Cricetulus griseus: one gene and its partners. The protein of the gene in region 2 interacts with the protein of the main gene of each other region in a biochemical or structural test. Links are inferred from orthologs where the notes say so. Each region holds a gene or a part of one and is shown on either strand. Other genes may lie near its edges.

Region 1 (6,049 bases), on a different chromosome or scaffold from region 2:
GTTGTTCATATGACAAAATTTAGAAATTCCCAAAATGTCCCATTTTTAAATAGTCATGGCTATAATACTGCTTAGGAAAGCTCAGTTTCTTCAGTAAATTTCTTTGTAGTTTTTAATCATGAGGTAATCAAATAAAATTGCCTTTTAGAGAAGCAGGGTAAAGAAGAGGGTGGGTTTTTTATGTTTTGTTGTCATTTTAAATACTTAGTAATTGAAATTGTTTGCAAAATGTTTTCTCATCTCTTTGAAATTAAATATTTTCACATTTTGTTATCAGCTAATTTAAATAATATTATACTATTAATGGACAAACCATTTTTATAAATCATTCATCAAATCAAAAAGTACTATATTCTGCTAGAAAATACATCAAATTTTATCTTAAATCCTTGTGCCTTAGTATCTCTTATAAGTTAGAATCAGGAAAAAAAAATTAAGGTGTGCGCCACCACCACCTGGCCAATTCCTTTTTTTAAGTATTTATTTTTATTTATGTGTGTCTGTGTGTTGTATCCACCAAGGGCACCCTGCCTGGAGTTACAAGATGTTGTGAAACTGATATGGGTGCCAGGAACCATACTCCAGGTCCTCTGGAAGAGCATTAAGTGCTCTTAACCACTGAGCCATCTCTCCAGCCTGTTATTAATTCTTGATCCTGTTTATTTCACTGATTAGATTATGTACCTTGATTCCTATTACCAAAATCATGCCCAAAGTAAAGTATACACTAAAATTGGAAGGAGAATAGATACTATCAATCGTTTTGAGATAAGGAAAAGTATATCTAGAACTGAAATTATGTATAAGCCATACAAGCTAGTGATGAAGTGATTCAGGCAGTGTGGTGACATAGCCCTGTAAACTCAGCACCAGGAGGCTAAGGTAGAGGAGCTGTGAGCTTGAGGCTAGCCTAGAGTACATACATAGCAAGTTCTAGGTCAACACAAGATATATAGCTGAGCCTGTCAGCATACAAACATTGAAAGTTAGGGCAAAAACTGGACCTGGCACCGAATATAGAAAAGGCAGAGAGCAGTGGCCATTGTTAGGTCCCACATTGTGTTCATATAGAGTTCTGTTGTTAGCACAGATCTGTGGCCAGCATTCAGCAGCAAGTAAGTAATCAACTGTGTTGTGTTGTTCAGATCTCTGTTCATATATGTTTGTTTGTTTGTTTGTTTGTTTGTTTAGTAAGATTGTCTAGGCCAAATGTAGTGGCACACGCCTTTAATCCCAGCACTTGGGAGGCCAAGGCAGGTCAATCTCTGTTAGTTTGAGGCCAGCCTGGTCTACAGAGCAAGTTCCATAGTAGACAGACTCTGTCTCAAAAAATAAACATATAGACAAATAAAAGAGATATTATCAGACAGACCACTTGGATTTCAGAAATAATTACCACTTTGATACACACTTAGTACTACCTAATAAAATGAAAAAAGGAAATGTAAGTTAATTTTGTCTGTTCTTCAACCAAATATAAAATAGCTCTAGAATTTATTTTTAGAACAAAACAGACATCGAGGTGTTCCAGGAGCACTCTGGTTCCATTGACTGTTGTTCTCACTCACCTCCACTGTTCATATTTCAGTATGTTCTGAGGGTTGTGTTACATCTGGATTTCTTTCTCTCTTCGGTTTTCATTCCTGTGTGTTTCATTGCCATTTTCCATTTTGCAGATTGTCCCACATCATCTCATTCTACTAAAACTGTCTCCCCATCACCTGCCTTTCTTGACGAAGACGAATTCAGTGATTTTATGCAGGGACCTGTTGAGGTTCCCACTTGTGGGCCCCCTTCCACGGCCGGTCCCTTTCAGTCTTTCCTCCCCACAACCCCACTCGGCCAGTTGCACACACAGAAGGCTGGAGCACAGCCTCTCCCTCCAGGTCAGGTTCCAGTGTCTTTTGCCTTACATGGTGGCCCTGGGCAAATTCCTTGTTTCTCTGCTGCTTCAGCTTCACACAGTGTGCAAAAAGCAGGTAACTCTAGTGTTATTATCGAAGTGTTAAGATATTGTAGGATAATTTATTTCTCTTATTTATGTAGAATTATACAGTGCTATTGGCAAAGAAACGTGGTATGTTATTTGTGAGAACCATCAACAGCTACCAATGCTAGGCTAGATGAAGTTTTTGCATCTTCATTTGCTAGAAAGTGATTTAAAACCTTTTGCTGTTGTGTTAGAAACAGGTGAAACCACCAGAAAACTTTAAAAGCAAACTGACTTCTTAAGATTATGCTTTTGCTTGGGAAAAAAAGAATCACTGATATAGTGTTAAAATAATGCTATAGAGAGAACGCCATTAAAAAGTAATCTTTCAGGGCCAATGAGATGGCTCAGAAGGTAATGTGCTTGCCACCAAGCCTGATGACCTGAGTTTATCCCCAGAACTCACACTCTGGAAGGGGAGAAGTGACTCCTATAAGTTCTCACTTTCACATATGCACCAACATACACACACAAAGAGAAATAAATCACACCCTTTTAAAGTGTGATATCTTAGCCAGCTATGGTATACACATCTGTAATTCATTCCTTGAGTCATGGAGGCAGAAAAATCAGGAGTTCGAGCTACATAGTTCAAGGCAGCCTGGGCTACACAAGACCCTGTTTCAAAATGGAAGGAAAAAAAAGGAAGGAAGGGAGGAAGGGCAGAAGAAAGGAAGAAAGGAAGAGAAAGAAAAAGAAAAGAAGGACTCCATCTAAGAAGGATGTGGTGACCGTGTCTGTAATTCCAGTACTAGGCAGACAGAGGTATCAGACCTGCTCAGGTTTGAGGCCAGCCTTCTGCAGTGACATGTTTTATCCTTGGACAAGTCTTTAAACATTTCTGTACTTCCATTTTAATCATTTGTGAAATCATGGGGCAGGCACAGTCTATCTCAAGACAGAGTGTGCTGGGAAGTGTCCTGGGAGACCTGTTTGTAGTCTTTAAGACTTCGTCATTTGACAGATGTGGAAAACAGGCCAGTCAGGTCTCCCACTAGTTAGACACTGTCTGTGTCTGGGAGCTTGCCGAATTCCCACAGCATGCCCCCCCTCACTGCATGGGTCTACCTCCTGTGGCATGGAATCCCTGAGAACCAAGTAGGGTAATTATGTTGAGTTCCCCCAAACCTCTGAAGTCTCTCAAATCCTACACCAATGGTAACAATTGAATTACTATATAATTCCATGCTCTGTGGGAGTTTTTCCCCTGAGAACATGAGGGTGGGAAGGGATGGTGACAAGATTGGGATATGTAAGTCATACACAAGTAATCCTTCATGCTGTTTGTTTAGGCCCTTCCTTGGAAGAGAAGCTCCTAGTATCTTGTGATTTAAGTACATCTGGGCAGGAACAAATTAAATTAAACACTCCTGAAGTTGGGCAAAAAGCCATAGTCCCAGGTTCCAGTAAGAACTGCCCCAGTTTAATGGCCCGTAACGGGGGTGCCGTAGATGGATGTGTAAGTGGTCTCACCACTGCAGAGGCAGAAAAGACTTCAGACCAAAACCTGCCGAATGGAGAGAGTGGTGAGCTCCTGCAACATTCAGCACAAACTTTGTTTAACCAACTGCCGCTCAGCCGCTAACACTTGAGCATTAATCTTAAAATGGATGCTGCTTGATTGTGCTAATTCAGATTTTGCTTAAAAACATTTATGCAGTCTTTTCTCCAATTAACCTCTAAGATTTTGCTCTGAATTCTTTGAACAACTGTATTACTCCTCTTCAAATGATTTTGATAAGCCTGTTTCCTAATCGGAATCACTCCTAATCTAAAATTTCCTCTCATTTGACAACAGTTCCCTTCTGGTTCATCTCATGCTCTCTGGTTTTTGGTAAAAGTTAAACAGTTTATCTGTAACTGAAAAAGTCACCAATGAAAATGCAGTCTTTCTGTCTGAGCTAAATTGTCTGTGCTGTGACCTAAAAGATCCAGATTCACACACTCGGCCCACAGCACTGGAGAAAGTCAAGCAGGTCTTTGAGCTGCAGTGGACTGTACACTCAGTAGCCACATGGCCATAGGTCCTGTTCTCAAAACACAAAAGCTAAATCCATATTTTAACTGGAGATGAAGCAGGATATGGGCAACCCTGGAGACAAACCCAAGGGGGATATTTTACACACGTAATTTTAAGCCACTGTCTATTGTGTTTTCCCCATAACTTGTCAAACACATTAAATGGTGCATGCCCCCGGTGACTCCGATTATTGATTTGGTACCTAATACTCTCTCTTTATGTTTTAATTCATAGTGACTGCACAAGAGTTGCTGGAAACCAAGTGCTTATATTATGTTGGTGACTTTTCTAGTGACTGCAGCTAGTGCTCCTCTTTGTAAAAAACAGTGGCTTTTCTCTTCTCCAGATCATTAACCATCCTTACCTTCTAGGGGTGGCCGTGTTTCCCTCTCAGGATCCTGTTCAGCCCAGAATGCCTCCTTGGATTTACAATGAGAGTTTGGTTCCAGGTAAAGTAAAGATGCTTTGCCCAGCATTCCCCTCTTAGATATGTTACTTTAAATATTATAGAAGTATTTCTAAATATTTACTGTCATGGTTACAAAATATGCAGAAGGAATTGTTACTTATATTTTTTTTCCTGTGGAGTATAGAAAACTAAATAAACTTCATGTGGGCTGGGCATGGTTATGCAAGCCTTTACTCTCAGCTCTTAGCAGGCAGGGGCAGGTGGCTCTCTGTGAGTTCCAGGACAGCCAGGACTACACAGTGAGACCCTGTCTCAAAAAAAAAAAAAAAAACAGGAGAGAGAGAGAGAGACTACTTTATTGAGAGTGGCAAGGTGGCTAATGGGGCAAAGGCCAAGCAATTAGAGTTATTGTGTCTTAAATGATTATATGATCAGATACTTGTTTCAAAGACTATTAATAACCTATCAAGAATCACGCTATTGGGGCTGAAGTGATTTGATGGCTCAGTGGTTAAGAACTTGGCTGCTCTTCCAGAAGACCTGGGTTCAAGTCCTAGAACCCACATAATGACTCACAACCACATTCCAGTTCCAGGGCACCAGACACCATCTTCTGGCTTCTGCAAGCACCAAGCACACATGTAGTACACAGATTTACATGCAGGCGAAACACATACAAATTTTAAAAATATCTTTTTTAAAGAATCACACTAGTATGTTTAAGACTTTCTCAATTTATATGGATTGTAAGTGTATTTTTTTCTGATGGTCTTATGAAACTATATAAAATGAAAGATTGGGTAGCATCGTTTTCTACATTGGAAAGTAGAGTGAGTTTGTTTGTTTTTTTCATGTGTAGTTTTATTGCTGAGCTGAAGAAATGGCTAAAATGAATTGTGTGGTAGTCCTTAGTGGATACCAGACAGTGGTATGTTTAAGCCATGATCAATAAACACAGAAACAGCGGTCCTCTCATCAGCAGATGCTGTGGTTAGTAAGTCACAGCTGCTTGGTTTGCTGCTCAGCGCCTTGCAAGCTGGAGGTGATGTCCGCTAGCTCATCAGTGCTCAAGGGTGGTACAAAGTTATTCTCCACTTGAGTAAATCAACCTTGATGCAAGATCTCTACAGGAGAATTTCTTTCTGGAAGGAACTGGTAATATCTACTTTTTATTGTGATCATACAACCATAAATCAAAAACTAGATATTCTCCCAAACCTACAGAAACTAGCTCTTAGTGTATTTTTTTTTAGTTCTGTCCATTTTCTGATAGTTTGCAGATAGTTTCCATACACATGCGTGCATCCTTTCCCAGTCAAGTCTGTGGAAGTCAGAGGACAACTTATGGGAATAGGTCCTCTCCTTCCACCTTGTGTGTTCCAAGAATTGAACTCAGGTCATCAGGTGCCTTTCCCCACTGAGTCAGATGCCAACTAAATTAAAGCAATTTGACTTTAGATTATTCTTTTATACCAACAATGGCAACAACAAAGTCAATCACCTGCAATGCGTTTGCATTTGTCATCTGGTCTTTCTTTTAATAGATGCCTATAAGAAAATTTTAGAAACTACAATGACTCCAACTGGAATAGATACTGCTAAACTTTATCCCATTCTGATGTCATCTGGA
Region 2 (6,610 bases):
CGAAGTCAAGCAAAACTAGAATGTAAACTGTCTGACTCCTTAGTTCTGTTGTTGTTTGTGAGATTGAGGCATGTAAAATAAAAATGGCCATCTCTCTCAGCCCTTGCCACTTCCTTAAAGTTTGTTTGCTCTTGAAAACTGTTGTTATTTTACAAATGAAAGCCAAGAGCTAAGGGCACAGCTTAGTTGCTGATGTAAATAGACTACATACAATGAACACAGCTTGTCCCTATGCGGTACAACAGCCTTAAATGAGTGTTGTGGCAACTCATTCCGCCAATACTTAGTGGGAACTTTTCTAGTATGTAAGAGGCCCAGACTTATGCCCCAGAAATGTAAACAAAACAAAATGACACAACAAAAAATAACAGCTGGAGAGATAGCTCATTTGGTAAAGTGTTTGCCTAGCAGGCATGGGGCCCTTTGGACTATCTCAAGCATTGGATAAACTGTAGAGGCAGCAGGATGGGAGCTCAAGGTCATCTTCAGGTACATAGAGAATTTGGGACTATCCTGGGCTACATGAAACCCTGTTTCAAAAAATATTTTTATGTTACATAAAACTGTAACTTTTTTTTTTGGCCAGGTGTGTTAGAAATGACCTACAATCTTCAGCACTTTGTAAAGAGTGGACACCCTTAAGTTTGAGGCCAGCCTGAGCTACATGAGACTATCACAACTCTCCATAGCCCTGATGCCAGAGGCCAGTAGGGGGCATTTTCTTTTCTTTTCTTTTTTTTTTTTTTTTTGTTTTCTTTTTTCTTTGGGGAGGGGTTTTGAGATAGGGTTTCTCTGTGACTTTGGAGAGGGAACATTTTCCAATAAAGGTTTCTTTTCAAAATGTGCAAAACTTTTTAAAAAAAGATATCATCATTGCAAACACATTTTTTATAATCCTGCCATCCAAAGATAATCATTTTCATATTTTAATTTTGCTCCTCAGTCTTTTTATGTATGCATACAATTTTAAGAGCTCATCTAAAAGATTTAAAATGTTTAGTTATGTATATGCATGTGTGTCTGTGTGAGTGTCTGCCCTGTGCATGGAGGCCAGGAGAAGGTGTCAGACTCTGTGGAGCTGAATATTCCTGACATGGAAGCTAGGATCTGAACTTTGCTTTTCTGCAAGAGCATCAAATACTTTTAACTACTAAAACATCTCTCCAGCATCCCAAATCTTATTTTAATAATATTTTTTGGACATATGTCATATCAGAATAGTAAGGTTACAGCTAGGGTTTTGTTTTATTTTAATCTTTTTGAGATAGGGTCATAGGTAGCCAAAGCTAGCCTCAAACTTTCTATATATATCTCTGATCTTCCTACCTCTACTTCCTAAGTGCTGGGATTTCATTGTATACTGCCACACCATGTTAATGGAGTGGTAATTTAAATAAAGGAAAATATAAGTGAAGAAAATAACAACAGAGAGAGGGTTTAAGTTACTATTTTCCTTTTAGTGTTCAGTATTTCTTACGGGGTGGCCTTTATGAGATAAAATTATTCTGCAGCTGAAGCTAGCCTCCAACTCACGGTCCCTCTGCCTAGCCTCTTACAGGTAGTGCGGCCACCACTGCTGCCTAAAAAGCCCCCCCCCCCTTTTTTTTTTTAAGGAGACAGGGTTTCTCTGTATGGCTTTGGAGCGTGTCCTGGAACTCGCTCTGTAGACCAGGTTGGCCTCGAACTCATAGAGATCCACCTGCCTCTGCCTCCTGAGTGCTGGGATTAAAGGCATGTGCCACCACTGCCCGATAAGTCTTAAGTCTATTTGTAAAACTGGGTTACTTACTTGGATTCAAGAGATTGCTTACAGGGTTGGGTTGTACATATGAAGGTGCCTTATGAACAATGGCATACCAATATTTAATAAAGAAATGTGATCATGCCCTTGGCGTCCTTTCTTTCCAGGCACTTGGCATGCCCCAGAAATACAAGGTCAAAACTGTACCGCTAGGCATACCCAGTTCAACGTCTGTAAAGTATTTTGAAATCCTTGCATAAAAAACGAATGCCTAAGGAAAAAGGTGCAACTTCCTGTTTATGACGCCAATGTCTCGAACCTAGGATTTGTGCTTAGTTCCCTGTCTTTGGCGTTCAGTCTAGTACTGTGTTTTGTTGACACCCGGGACGACTTTGTTGCCAATCTATTGGAAAGATTTTATTCTAGGTAGGTCACCTTTCCTTTAAATGGGCCAAGATATCAAGGATCTCTCGATTCACATGGAAAAGACTTTTGTCACAAGTTAGCAATTATTTATCACGTCCGGAACTGTCTAGCTAGACTTTCTTTGGCTCAGGTCATTAGTTCATTTAATGGTAGATTGGAAGCCAATTTTGGAGGAGTTTTGGCTGTCATTTATCCAGATTCTCTTTTCCCACAGGAGGGAACTGAAAGGTTGGCGAGATTAGGTGACTAAAGCACAGGGGTGGTGATGTGCGTGGAACCCATTCTTCTGCTTCATCTTCTACCTGTTTTCGTAAAATTTTTATGAAGATACAATAAAACCACAGACTCCAAGACCACTTGGAGCATGCTTCTGAAGTTGAACACAAAGCTAAGGACTCAAGGTGACGGGGACGATTTAGGAATTCTTTAGGACTAAATCCTAGTTAAGTGTGCTGCGTTTCCACCTGCCTCTCCCTCAACCTTCTCCAGCTACCTTGCCTAGCCCCGCCCCCTCAGGTGGCCCCACCGTTTCCTGGTAGCACAGCTTCCTTCCCCAACCCTGCTTCCAAGTGGAACCAAAGTGCGCTGACTCTGGGGACCGCCGGATCTTTCTAGTTAAGACTCTTCGCAGCGGTGACTCGGCAGCCGCGTCTAGCGTCATCAGTGACAGCCCCGACCCTTGCTACGCTTTGCGTCGCTCTGCCAGGCGCAGTCGCCTCCTCCTTGGCAAATAGTCCTCGGCAGGGTCCGAGTTTTCGGGTCGTCCGAGGTGGGAAACAGGAGAGGTTGCAGTTCAAGGGGCGCGGAGTTGACGAGGAGAGGGAGCTGAGGAGCGCCGTCTTCTCGAGAGCGCGTGAAGTGAGTTAGAAACTCCCTCCCTTCCCGGGATCCCTCCGCCTGCAGTAGCGGTGGTGAGGCCGAGGGAGCCGCCATTTTGGATGTTCGGTTCCTGCTGCCACTGCTGCCGCCGCCCCCGAAGCTGCTGGTTTCATTCGAGGTTTCGGGCCGGTGAGTGTCACTCGCGGCACTGAGAGCAGGTTGTGTCTTTGGCTCCGCCGCGGCTGCGAGCGTTTGGCTGGAAACCTCCTGTCAGTCCCAGGGGTCCGGTCTCAGCCTGTGGGGGGTGAGGAGGACCCAGGTTGGGCAGGTGGGACCGGGGAGCCCCAAGGCTTGCTCGGACTTACTGAGGGCCGACCGACCCTCAGAGGCTTCTGAGCAGGAGCTTCGGTGCGCGGGCGCTCCCTCTAGTGTGGCGTTGTCCAGCCGGTGCAGGCCTCCTTGAACCCATTGACTTTATCAGGCTGCGAGCCTCCTTTGAAAGCCGGTTCAGGGAACCTCGGATTTAGCGGGGCGGGCCCCACCCCCGCGTGTCCTCTCCGAGTCTCTTATCAGTGTTCTTGTGTCGTGGACTCGGGTCAGATGTGAGAACTCTCAGCATTTCCACATGCAGGGGTAATGCCTGTGCCTGCGATGCCGTCTGCTCAGAACTGGACATCGGCCTCGCCTCCTTCTAACCCTTCGACTAACTTCTGGTCTAAATTTTTCCGCCTCCCCCCCGCCCCTGCTTTTTAAAAACGTACCTGCGACTGCACCTTCTTCTCCAACTCTTGGTTCTGCGGACGTCCGTTTCTAGTAATTCTCCGGATCTTTCTCATTGCCTGGAACTGTGGGTTATGCTTCCCAGTTAGGGCTTGGTGTTGGAGAGCCGTCGAACCACCTAGGGTGTATTTCAGTAGTAAATGGGTTTAAAGCAGGCAGAGAGGCTTTAGGTGGGAAGGAGCTGTCAAAATACTTTCTGGATTTCCTTTCTGCCCTGAACGCTGAGCTTTCAGGCACTTACTGATACATATTTTTTTTTCTTTATTCTTTTGGCGTTGTAAGTGCTTGAGCACGGAAATCTGCCCTTGGAGAATATTAATCTGACGTAGGTAGAAAGGAAAATAACTTTTTTGGTTCCTATAGGGATTAGTTAACAGAAGAGCGAGCTGAATGATCTCTTAGTGACTTCAACCTTCAGGTGTTTGTATAGCAATGATCTTTGCTGACTTCATATGTTGACTTTTCTCAGGGTAGTTGAATTTTAAGCGTCCATTTCCACCGTTGCCTGTAGTATTTGTCAGACTTTATACCTCTTAAGTTTTGATTTGAAACCTGTGGATCCTCGAAGTACTGATAGCCTCATTACTCTAATTCTGTTTTTAATGTCTGTTTGCAATCTATCGTGCTTTAATAAAAAAAAAATTAACAATAATTCACCAGTTATTTCCTACATTTCAGGTTAGGTGAGTGTGGTTGAGTCACCCCTATTTTATCTCAGCCTAGGTTTTTACAACTGCAAAAGAGAAATAACTTATTTGAGTTCACATTTAAGTGACTTAAACCTAAGTTTTTTTATTTGTTTGTTTGTTTTTTGTTTTTTGGTTTTTCGAGACAGGGTTTCTCTGTGTATCTTTGGAGCCTATCCTGGCACTCACTCTGTAGATCAGACTGGCCTCGAACTCACAGAGATCCACCTGCCTCTGCCTCCCGAGTACTGGGATTAAAGGTGTGCGACACCAACGCCCAGCTTAAACCTAAGTTTATAACTTGAACCGAGTCATATCTCTTGGTACTTCTAAAATTTATGTTGGTGCTTTATTTATTTATTTATTTATTGATTGATTGATTGATTGGTTTTTCGAGACAGGGTTTCTCTGTAGCTTTGGAGGCTGTCCTGGCCCTCACTCTATAGACCAGGCTGGCCTCAAAATCACAGAGATCCACCTGCCTCTGCCTCCTGAGTGCTGATACTAAAGGCGTGCACCACTGGCTTGATGCTTTATTTTTAAAATCTTTTGAAGTTTTATTTTATTTATTTACGTATGAGTGCTTTGCCTGCATGTATATATGTGCATCACTTGCATTACCGTTTCGGGTGGAAGAGGGTATTTGGATTTCCTGAAAGTGGAATTTCAGGCAGTTGTGAGCTGCTCTGTGGGTGCTAGAAACTGATTCCATGTCCTCTACAAGAGCAGTACATGCTTTTAGCCTCTGAGCCATCTCTCCAGCCTCTCTTTATTTTTAAGCTTTTGAAGTGAGACTGCAGGTAAATCTTTATAGGTCATACAGTGTCAAAGAAGACACTATTTCCAGTGTAAATATTCTGTGCTCTTGTTACTTGTTTTAAGAAACTCCTTCAGAACTATATTAATTACTGTTAGATGTGAATTCTGTGTTTTGCTTTGAAGTTGTTCAGTTTTCTTTTGCTTTTAAAAGAACTCAGTGTCTTGTACTTTACTTCAGTGATGTCCTGTTTTTGAGTTCCCTTTTTTGAACAGGTATTGAAAGAGCTATCAAAAGTTATTTAACTCAGTAGTATTGTGGTATAACATACTGGGATTTAAATGTCATTCATTCTTTGATGGTTTGCAGTTTACTGGGAGAAAGTACACTTTTGCCAAACAAATATTAGTAAAGTACTGTTCTGTGTATCGTTGATCAGTACATATATAAATTTCTACCTTGTCTTGGCTGTTGAGAATTGCACTAAAAGTTAACATTTGTGTTTAGTAAACTTCCATTTATTTCCTTCCTTCTTCCCTATCCCTCCCCCCCTTGAAACATAATTTTGCTTTTTGCTAAATCGTTCAAGCTGACTTTAAGTTGTGATCCTCCTACTTTATCTGAGTAACAGGGATTAACAGGTCTGTCCATCAGTCTGGCCCAGCATTTGGGCTTTGAGACAGTCTTCCTATGTTGCTCAGGTTGTCCTGGAACTTGGATACTTCTCTTATCTTCTCAATGCTGGGAGTGCAGGTTTTTGTCACTCTAGATTGCTAGCCTAGAATACTTCAGAGTTACAGGTTCTAGTCCACTCTACCTCCCAGAAAGCTAAAACCAAAAAGTTTTAAAACGAACAGGATACACAGCAGATAAAAACCCAAGTAGTTTTGAATGAATCATTAAACATTCTTTATGCAAAGTTAAAAGGCCAAATGATTCTTCCAACAGTTTTGTTTGTTTGTTGTTTATTTGTTTTTCAAGACAGGGTTTCTCTGTGTAGCTTTGGAGCCTCTCCTGGAACTCACTCTATAGACCAGGCTGACCTTGAAGTCACAAAGATGCACCTGCTTCTGCCTCCCCAGTACTGGGAATAAAGGTGTGCACCACCACCCAGCACCAGGTTTTTTGTTTGTTTGTTTTGTTTTTTAATTTAAACAGTTGAATTGGAATTCACCTGTCAAAACATCTCAAAATACTTAATCCTGCCAGTGAGTTCCAATACAGCCAGGACTACCCAGAGAAACCCTGTCTCAGACAACAACAACAAAACACAAAAGCTTAATTTCTTTTATTTGTATTTGATAGGGACATAAAATTTTGTGTATGTAATAGTATATAACTGATCAAAACTTGCTTTTGCAGAGCCAGGCAAATCTTTTGTGTTTGAGGCCAGCCTGATCA
Region 3 (6,049 bases), on a different chromosome or scaffold from region 2:
AGAGTAGTCCTGGCCAGTTTGAGACTAGTCAAGACCCAGTTTCTGTCTGTCCACCTCTCCCTCTCAGAAGGCAGCTTGAACATTTGTTTCTAATGTTTATTCTTCATGTAAAAATAGTACATTGGGTGCTTGAAACATAGACGTTCTTTTGGGTAGCATGTGTCTTAGGCCTGTCCTGTCTTCTGTGAGCTGTGACAGTGCCTGGCCAGTGTGTGAACGTGCAGGCCAGTGCTGTATGTACCCTTAGCATTTGCTCAATGAGGCTCTCCAGCTCCTGCACCTCTGTCTGACTTTGCTTACATTTGGATCTGTTGAGGTTGTGGATATGGGTAAAAAGAAACTTCTTGTTGCCAGGCATAGTGATGTACACTAGAGGCAGGCAGATCTCTGAGTTTGAAGCCAGCCTGGTTGACATGGAGTTCCATGCCAGCCAGGGACATAGTGGTGAACCTTGTCTCAAAAATAATAAAATGTATCATTTTGTGATTTCCTATAAAATATTTTCACTCTTCTGTTCCTTTGCTTGCCTGCTTTCAGAGAAAAAAACAATACTGCATTTAGTTATTATTAAAAGTTGTTTCTAACAGCAAAAATAGTCTTACCTCATATATCACACAAAGCCAGCGCATGAATCGATGGAATGTATGTCTCTTCTAGTAAGCACTGAAGTCTTGGAGTCATTATCTTCTCTGAAATAATGAAAAGGCTCTGGATTTGTCCAGGTAGTCCTTTTGTTCCTTGGCTTTTTCTGTATCGCTGAATTGCCATTTTCAGCTTACTTCCTCCTTCTATGTGTTTGCGTCCCATTTTGTTACCAGCACAGTGTGTAATTGTAGCTGATGAATTTAGAAAGTTGAGTGAGTTTGCAGACAGGGTCACAGTGGGCTAGCCTGTGTTTGCATTAACAGTCTTTGTTTCTTATTAATGGTTTTTGGATTTCTCAACAGCTTTAACTGTTTTGTGCGGTTTTACTTATGACATCAGGTGATGACCTTCATCCATTCATTCTGCAGCATATGGATTTAAACACAGGCTTCATGAGATCTGAACCTTCTCTCAGAACTGTGTTCCCAGCTCTTTTTACATGTATTTTAAAATCTTTAAACTCTTGGTGAAATCTAGCCTTGAGGTTCTAACAGGCAGTTCAGCAGCGTATGTTTAAGAACTTTTCCAAATAGCACCTATACCCTCACAGCATGTAAAAACAAGGGTTCTGAGTAGAAGTTCCCTTTTGCTGTCCTGTTTTCCATTGCCCTTTCTTATGCTTCCTAACCTGCCTCTGTTCATACCATTTCTGTTCTTCAAACCTCATATGATATCTCTCTATCCCAGTTTTGCTTTTTTCTATTTGTGTCCGTAATTCCCATCTCTTCATTGAGCTCCAGACAAGCACCAGTGCAGATCATGGTATCGCTGTGGTCCTTTACTCACTCCAGAGGTTCTCCATGTGTGTCTCCAGCCACTCTGATGGGTCCTCATTAGCTCAGAGCTGCTGGACATGCTTGTAGTTCTAAAGTGTGTAGGTTTGAAAAGTTAGAATTCTTTTTATGGAAATTACAGATTTCTTTCCCAGGCCTTAAAATCCATTCGGTTATTGTGTTTCTAGGATCTATTGTGTTTCAACTAATTGGGTCACAGAAGTCAAACTCAAGGTTGTCCTTTAAGGGAAATAAGTGTTTTTAGAGTAGATTGGTTGGTTGCCCAGTTAAGATTTCCTTTCTTCTGTCTGTCTGTCTTTCCTCTTTCATCTGTTTTTGAGAGGATATCTCGCTGTGTTGTAGTTCACTGGATGGCCTTGAACACTTGGTCTCATGATCACTCAGCTTTTAATCTGTAGCAGTCTGGAGTACAGCTTCTTGCCTCCATGTCTCGATAGTTTGCTTTGCATATGTGTGCTCACTCTTCCAGCCTTGTTCTCTTCTCCCTGTCCCTTCAAGTCTCAGCACCCTCCCCACCCCCTTCCTTGCCTTTCTTAGTTGTTTGTTGGAAGCAAGTTCTGTTGTGCTGTGGCCTGAGTCATCCTAGAACTTGCACTCCCTTTGCTCCGTCTCCTGAATATCGGGATTACAGACTTGTGCTATAACACCTAGCTTTACTTTCTATTCTTTTAAGATATTGTTGTTAGCTTCATAAAATTAAGCACCATTGAGATGAGAATAAAATGTGATTCGTTTAATGACTTGAAAACTAGAACGCTTTTCCTTCATCTTGTGTTCATGGAATGTGTATTTTGTGTTTCCGCTCCTTCTCTACAGTAGGGTTCAGGGTGTCATCAAGTTTGTGACATTCTCATGAAGAAAAGCTTTGAATCTGCGTTCCTGACAAGATGATTGGCATGAGCTGCACCATGCAGTGTGCATGTGGCTCTGTGGGAGATTTCTGTTTTCTCTTAAAAGTAATGTTTTATGAGAAAGTCTTCAGAAGGAAGGACTGTGGCTCCCTCCAAGTTTAATATCCTTAGTTGTTTCTTTCTTTCTTGTTTACACAGATGAAAGATATGATCCTGAGCCCAAGTCCAAGTGGGATGAAGAGTGGGATAAAAACAAGAGTGCTTTTCCATTCAGTGACAAGTTAGGGGAGCTGAGCGATAAGATCGGAAGCACAATCGACGACACCATCAGCAAGTTTCGGAGGAAAGACCGGGAGGACTCTCCGGAAAGGTGCAGGTGTGCCACTTCTCTGCTGCTGCCTTGAGGGGTGTCGGCTTTCTGCAGCTGTTTGGTTTGGGTTTGTCTGGTTTTGAGATATTGATGTTATCTGAAGTTTAGCTTTTTGTTTTTTAGCAGACTTTGTTAGAGGAGTCTTAAGGACACAGGAAACTTGCTTATAAAGTACAGAAGGCTGTTACATAACCTTTGTCCTTCCCCCAAGTTTCAAGATTGTGTTAATTTGGTAACATTTGTTAACTGATAAGCCAGTATTGATGTGCAGTTTGGCACATGTGGGATATTCTCCAGTAATGTCTTACAGAGTGATGTCAACTCCCTGGAAATGCCCTGTGCAAAACAAATGGGGAATCATTCATAAAGCTGCTAGTCAGCCCCACACCAAAACCATCTCTCATGACACTGGGTCAGATAGAAGTGCTCTTAGTGTTAACACTTCTTCCACCCTGTCCACACTTGCCTGTTTCTATAGTGATTCATCTGTCTTCTGCATTTTTCTTCAGGTATCTTAGTCTTGTCCTGAAGTTTTTTATCTCTGATAAAATTTTTATTCACCATTTTAAATTTGGGACATCAGATGATTCCATTGTCTAAAATAATGTAGGGGAAATGATGATGCCTACGCACTAAGTTTTAGAGAAAGTTAAGAGCTGAAATTTAACTACCTGAGACATTGCATTACCATCCCATGCCCATATGACCAGAAGAGTCCTGTGCAGTTGGCATCTAGAATTGTAGTACAGGCCTGTATTTATACACATTATTTTCTGATGTAGGTGATTATGTTGAACTTATATCAAACAAGAGAAGTAAAACAAGAGGTCCATTCAGATTGTGTGGACCTGTGTAAAATTAGTTTTTTGGGTTTTTTGTTTTTTGTTTTTTTTTTAAACTAAATAGCATCTTTTTCCTACCCATAGATTCATAATAGTTTGGTTTTAGGGTATCATAGAAATGAAATTCAAATAAAAAACATAATCTGATTTTTAAAATAGGCTTTTAAACACCCATTTTTAGTGTATTTTCAGTGCCATTCCAGAGTCATTAAATCTCTAGAATGCCCTTTTCAAGAGTTATAGGAACATGGTCTTTGAAGGGACAGAGTTTATGTCAGTAATGGGAGCCTGTCTGCCTGCATGTTTTAGTTTTGAACACTGAACTTTGGGAAACAGTGTTTGAGTACTCTCCTGGCTTCCCTAAATGTTTTAGACACAGATTCGTATGGCCTGTGTGTAAAAGGTTTTGCTCTCACTTGAAAAACGTAGCAGCTGAGTGTTTCATTGCTATTTCTGGAGTTGAGTAAGGTAGGATCTTAGTGATAGAGTGGTGTGTAGTCCCACACTATATTTCTTTCCTCCTTCTGCCCTCCCATCCTTGGGGATGCTTCTCTGCCTTGGTCTCTGCTCTTTATTTTTTTTTTAATTAATTTATTTATTTATTTTGCCTCCCATGTTTGCCGGAGTGGTTTTGGCCAGGGTGGTGCTATCATTGGTTGTTCTTCCTTACATTCCCACTGAGGCAGGGTGGGCTGAGTTCCTTTGATCCACCGTATTCAGGTTTAAAGGTCTAAACTATATTCAAATACCAGTTAGACACGTGTGCATGTTGCAGTTCAGAGTATTGATGAGAAAACAGTATATTTTAGACAGAGTTGTATGTGACCAGAGTCTTGTCTGTTAATTCATTATTGGAGTCAGGAGTTCTTGAATGTTCAAAGTATTATCTTGCATTGAAATACAATTAGATGTCAAACATCAGTTTTACTTACAAGGTTATTGATACAATCGTGAGGTCATTTTGTTGTTGTTTGCTTTATTTGTAATTATCAGAACTTGTATGTTCCTTAGAATCCCTCTGTTTAAAAGGATATTTAACTCTTGTGCTTTGTGTGGGAAACCATTCTTTCCCTCCCCCCACCCCCATGGGAGTGCACAGAGTACAGGTCAGAAGACCACTTGTAGAGTTGATTCTCTTGCTCTCCCTTTGTTCGGGGCTTTATCTCCAGCCTTCTTGTCAGCCCATGTGCTGTATTTAAGTTGAGATTGCTTTACATTACAGTTACATTTCATCAGTATAGTCCTAGTTTGAGGGAGAAATCCAAGCATTTTGCTCCAGGATACTTATAAACTAAACTGCCCTCTCTACAATTATGTAATATAGGTAATGGAACATATTTCATGTTCTCATGGTGCTCGCTCTCTTCCTTCCTCCTGCTTGCAGCCAAACAGAAACCCAATGGCTTGATATTCTAGTAGTCTCTTCATTCCCAACATACGAAAATCCTGGTTTCCTGCTTTCTAGGGGGTTTGCTTTTGTGGGGGTTTTGATTGGTTGACTTGCAGTGTTAACATGAGTAAAATACTTGTTTGGAAATATTTTAAATACAGCTAAGTTTCTAACAGTTGACAGTTAGGTAATGTGTGATGTGACAGAGTAGCAAAATGAAGCTCAGTTACAAAAAAGATTGCTTCATATTTGTATTGGTTTTCAGGTGATGGTTGACAAGGCATAGAGTTTTAAGCTGACCATTGAAATTTCACTGTTTCCTTCTCTCTGAAGCAATCTTTGGTCGCTCAGGCTGGCCTTAAGCTCATTGTAGAGCCATGACCTTAGGCTCCTGCCATTCCATCCAGGTGTTAGGGTTACCAGGGTGCACCCCATGCCTCACCTTAGTTACTCTTTGTTACATTTCCTGCATGAAAATCACTAACAGAGTTCTTAAGATGGACCTGTAAAAGCTTGGTATGGCATCACAGCCTCTGACCTCTCGGGATGTGGAAGCAGGAGGATAAGGAGTCATCTTTGGCTAGATAGTGAGCTAGAGATCATTTAAGACTATATGGCATTCTTGTCTTTTAAGAAAGTTGGTAATAATGTTTAAGAAAAAGAGAAGAAATGAAATTATAGACATTGTACAGTATATTTTGAGATTGTGAATATTCCTGTGATACCGAGTTCCAACAGCTGGTTCTGACATCATGCTGCTATTTTATCTAATGGTTAAGTTTTAAATCTGTAACAAACACTAAGGTAGTTCAGTCATTCTTTTGCTCAGGCAAAAATACAGGGATGTTTTAAGACTTAACTAGGAAATTGTGCACGTTCCCTCTTCCCCTCCCTAATACATACACATCATTATTCAGCAGCCTAAATAACTTTGTGTTGATCCTGTCAAACAGTCGAAGTGTGGAACTTTGGAATTAGTGCATTTGAAATTCTTCACTCTAATCACTAAGGACTCCTTACAATATTCCCAAGTCTTATTATGTTGTTTCATTTTTAATATCTTTTAGTGACAGTGATGAAGAAAAGAAAGCAAGAAGAGGCAGATCTCCCAAAGGTGAATTCAAAGATGAAGAGGAAACGGTGACAACGAAGCATAT

What was found. The genes of interacting proteins can lie anywhere in the genome.
Region 1: the proteins of Ap1g1 (region 2) and Synrg form a complex in vitro, tested with the Homo sapiens proteins (2 studies listed by BioGRID). The link is inferred for Cricetulus griseus from reciprocal best matches to the Homo sapiens genes AP1G1 and SYNRG.
Region 3: the proteins of Ap1g1 (region 2) and Clint1 form a complex in vitro, tested with the Homo sapiens proteins (2 studies listed by BioGRID). The link is inferred for Cricetulus griseus from reciprocal best matches to the Homo sapiens genes AP1G1 and CLINT1.

The regions. Positions count from the first base shown.
Region 1 is NC_048600.1:97,234,406-97,240,454, forward strand, and holds part of Synrg (synergin gamma), read left to right. Parts: intron 1-1,676; coding exon 1,677-1,979; intron 1,980-3,282; coding exon 3,283-3,516; intron 3,517-4,381; coding exon 4,382-4,459; intron 4,460-5,963; coding exon 5,964-6,049. UniProt on the Homo sapiens protein: Plays a role in endocytosis and/or membrane trafficking at the trans-Golgi network (TGN). May act by linking the adapter protein complex AP-1 to other proteins. Component of clathrin-coated vesicles.
Region 2 is NC_048596.1:186,136,297-186,142,906, forward strand, and holds the start of Ap1g1 (AP-1 complex subunit gamma-1), read left to right. Parts: upstream 1-2,838; 5' UTR 2,839-3,025; intron 3,026-3,031; exon of another isoform or gene 3,032-3,175; intron 3,176-6,610. UniProt on the Homo sapiens protein: Subunit of clathrin-associated adaptor protein complex 1 that plays a role in protein sorting in the late-Golgi/trans-Golgi network (TGN) and/or endosomes.
Region 3 is NC_048600.1:60,441,088-60,447,136, forward strand, and holds part of Clint1 (clathrin interactor 1), read left to right. Parts: intron 1-2,488; coding exon 2,489-2,666; intron 2,667-5,959; coding exon 5,960-6,049. UniProt on the Homo sapiens protein: Binds to membranes enriched in phosphatidylinositol 4,5-bisphosphate (PtdIns(4,5)P2). May have a role in transport via clathrin-coated vesicles from the trans-Golgi network to endosomes. Stimulates clathrin assembly.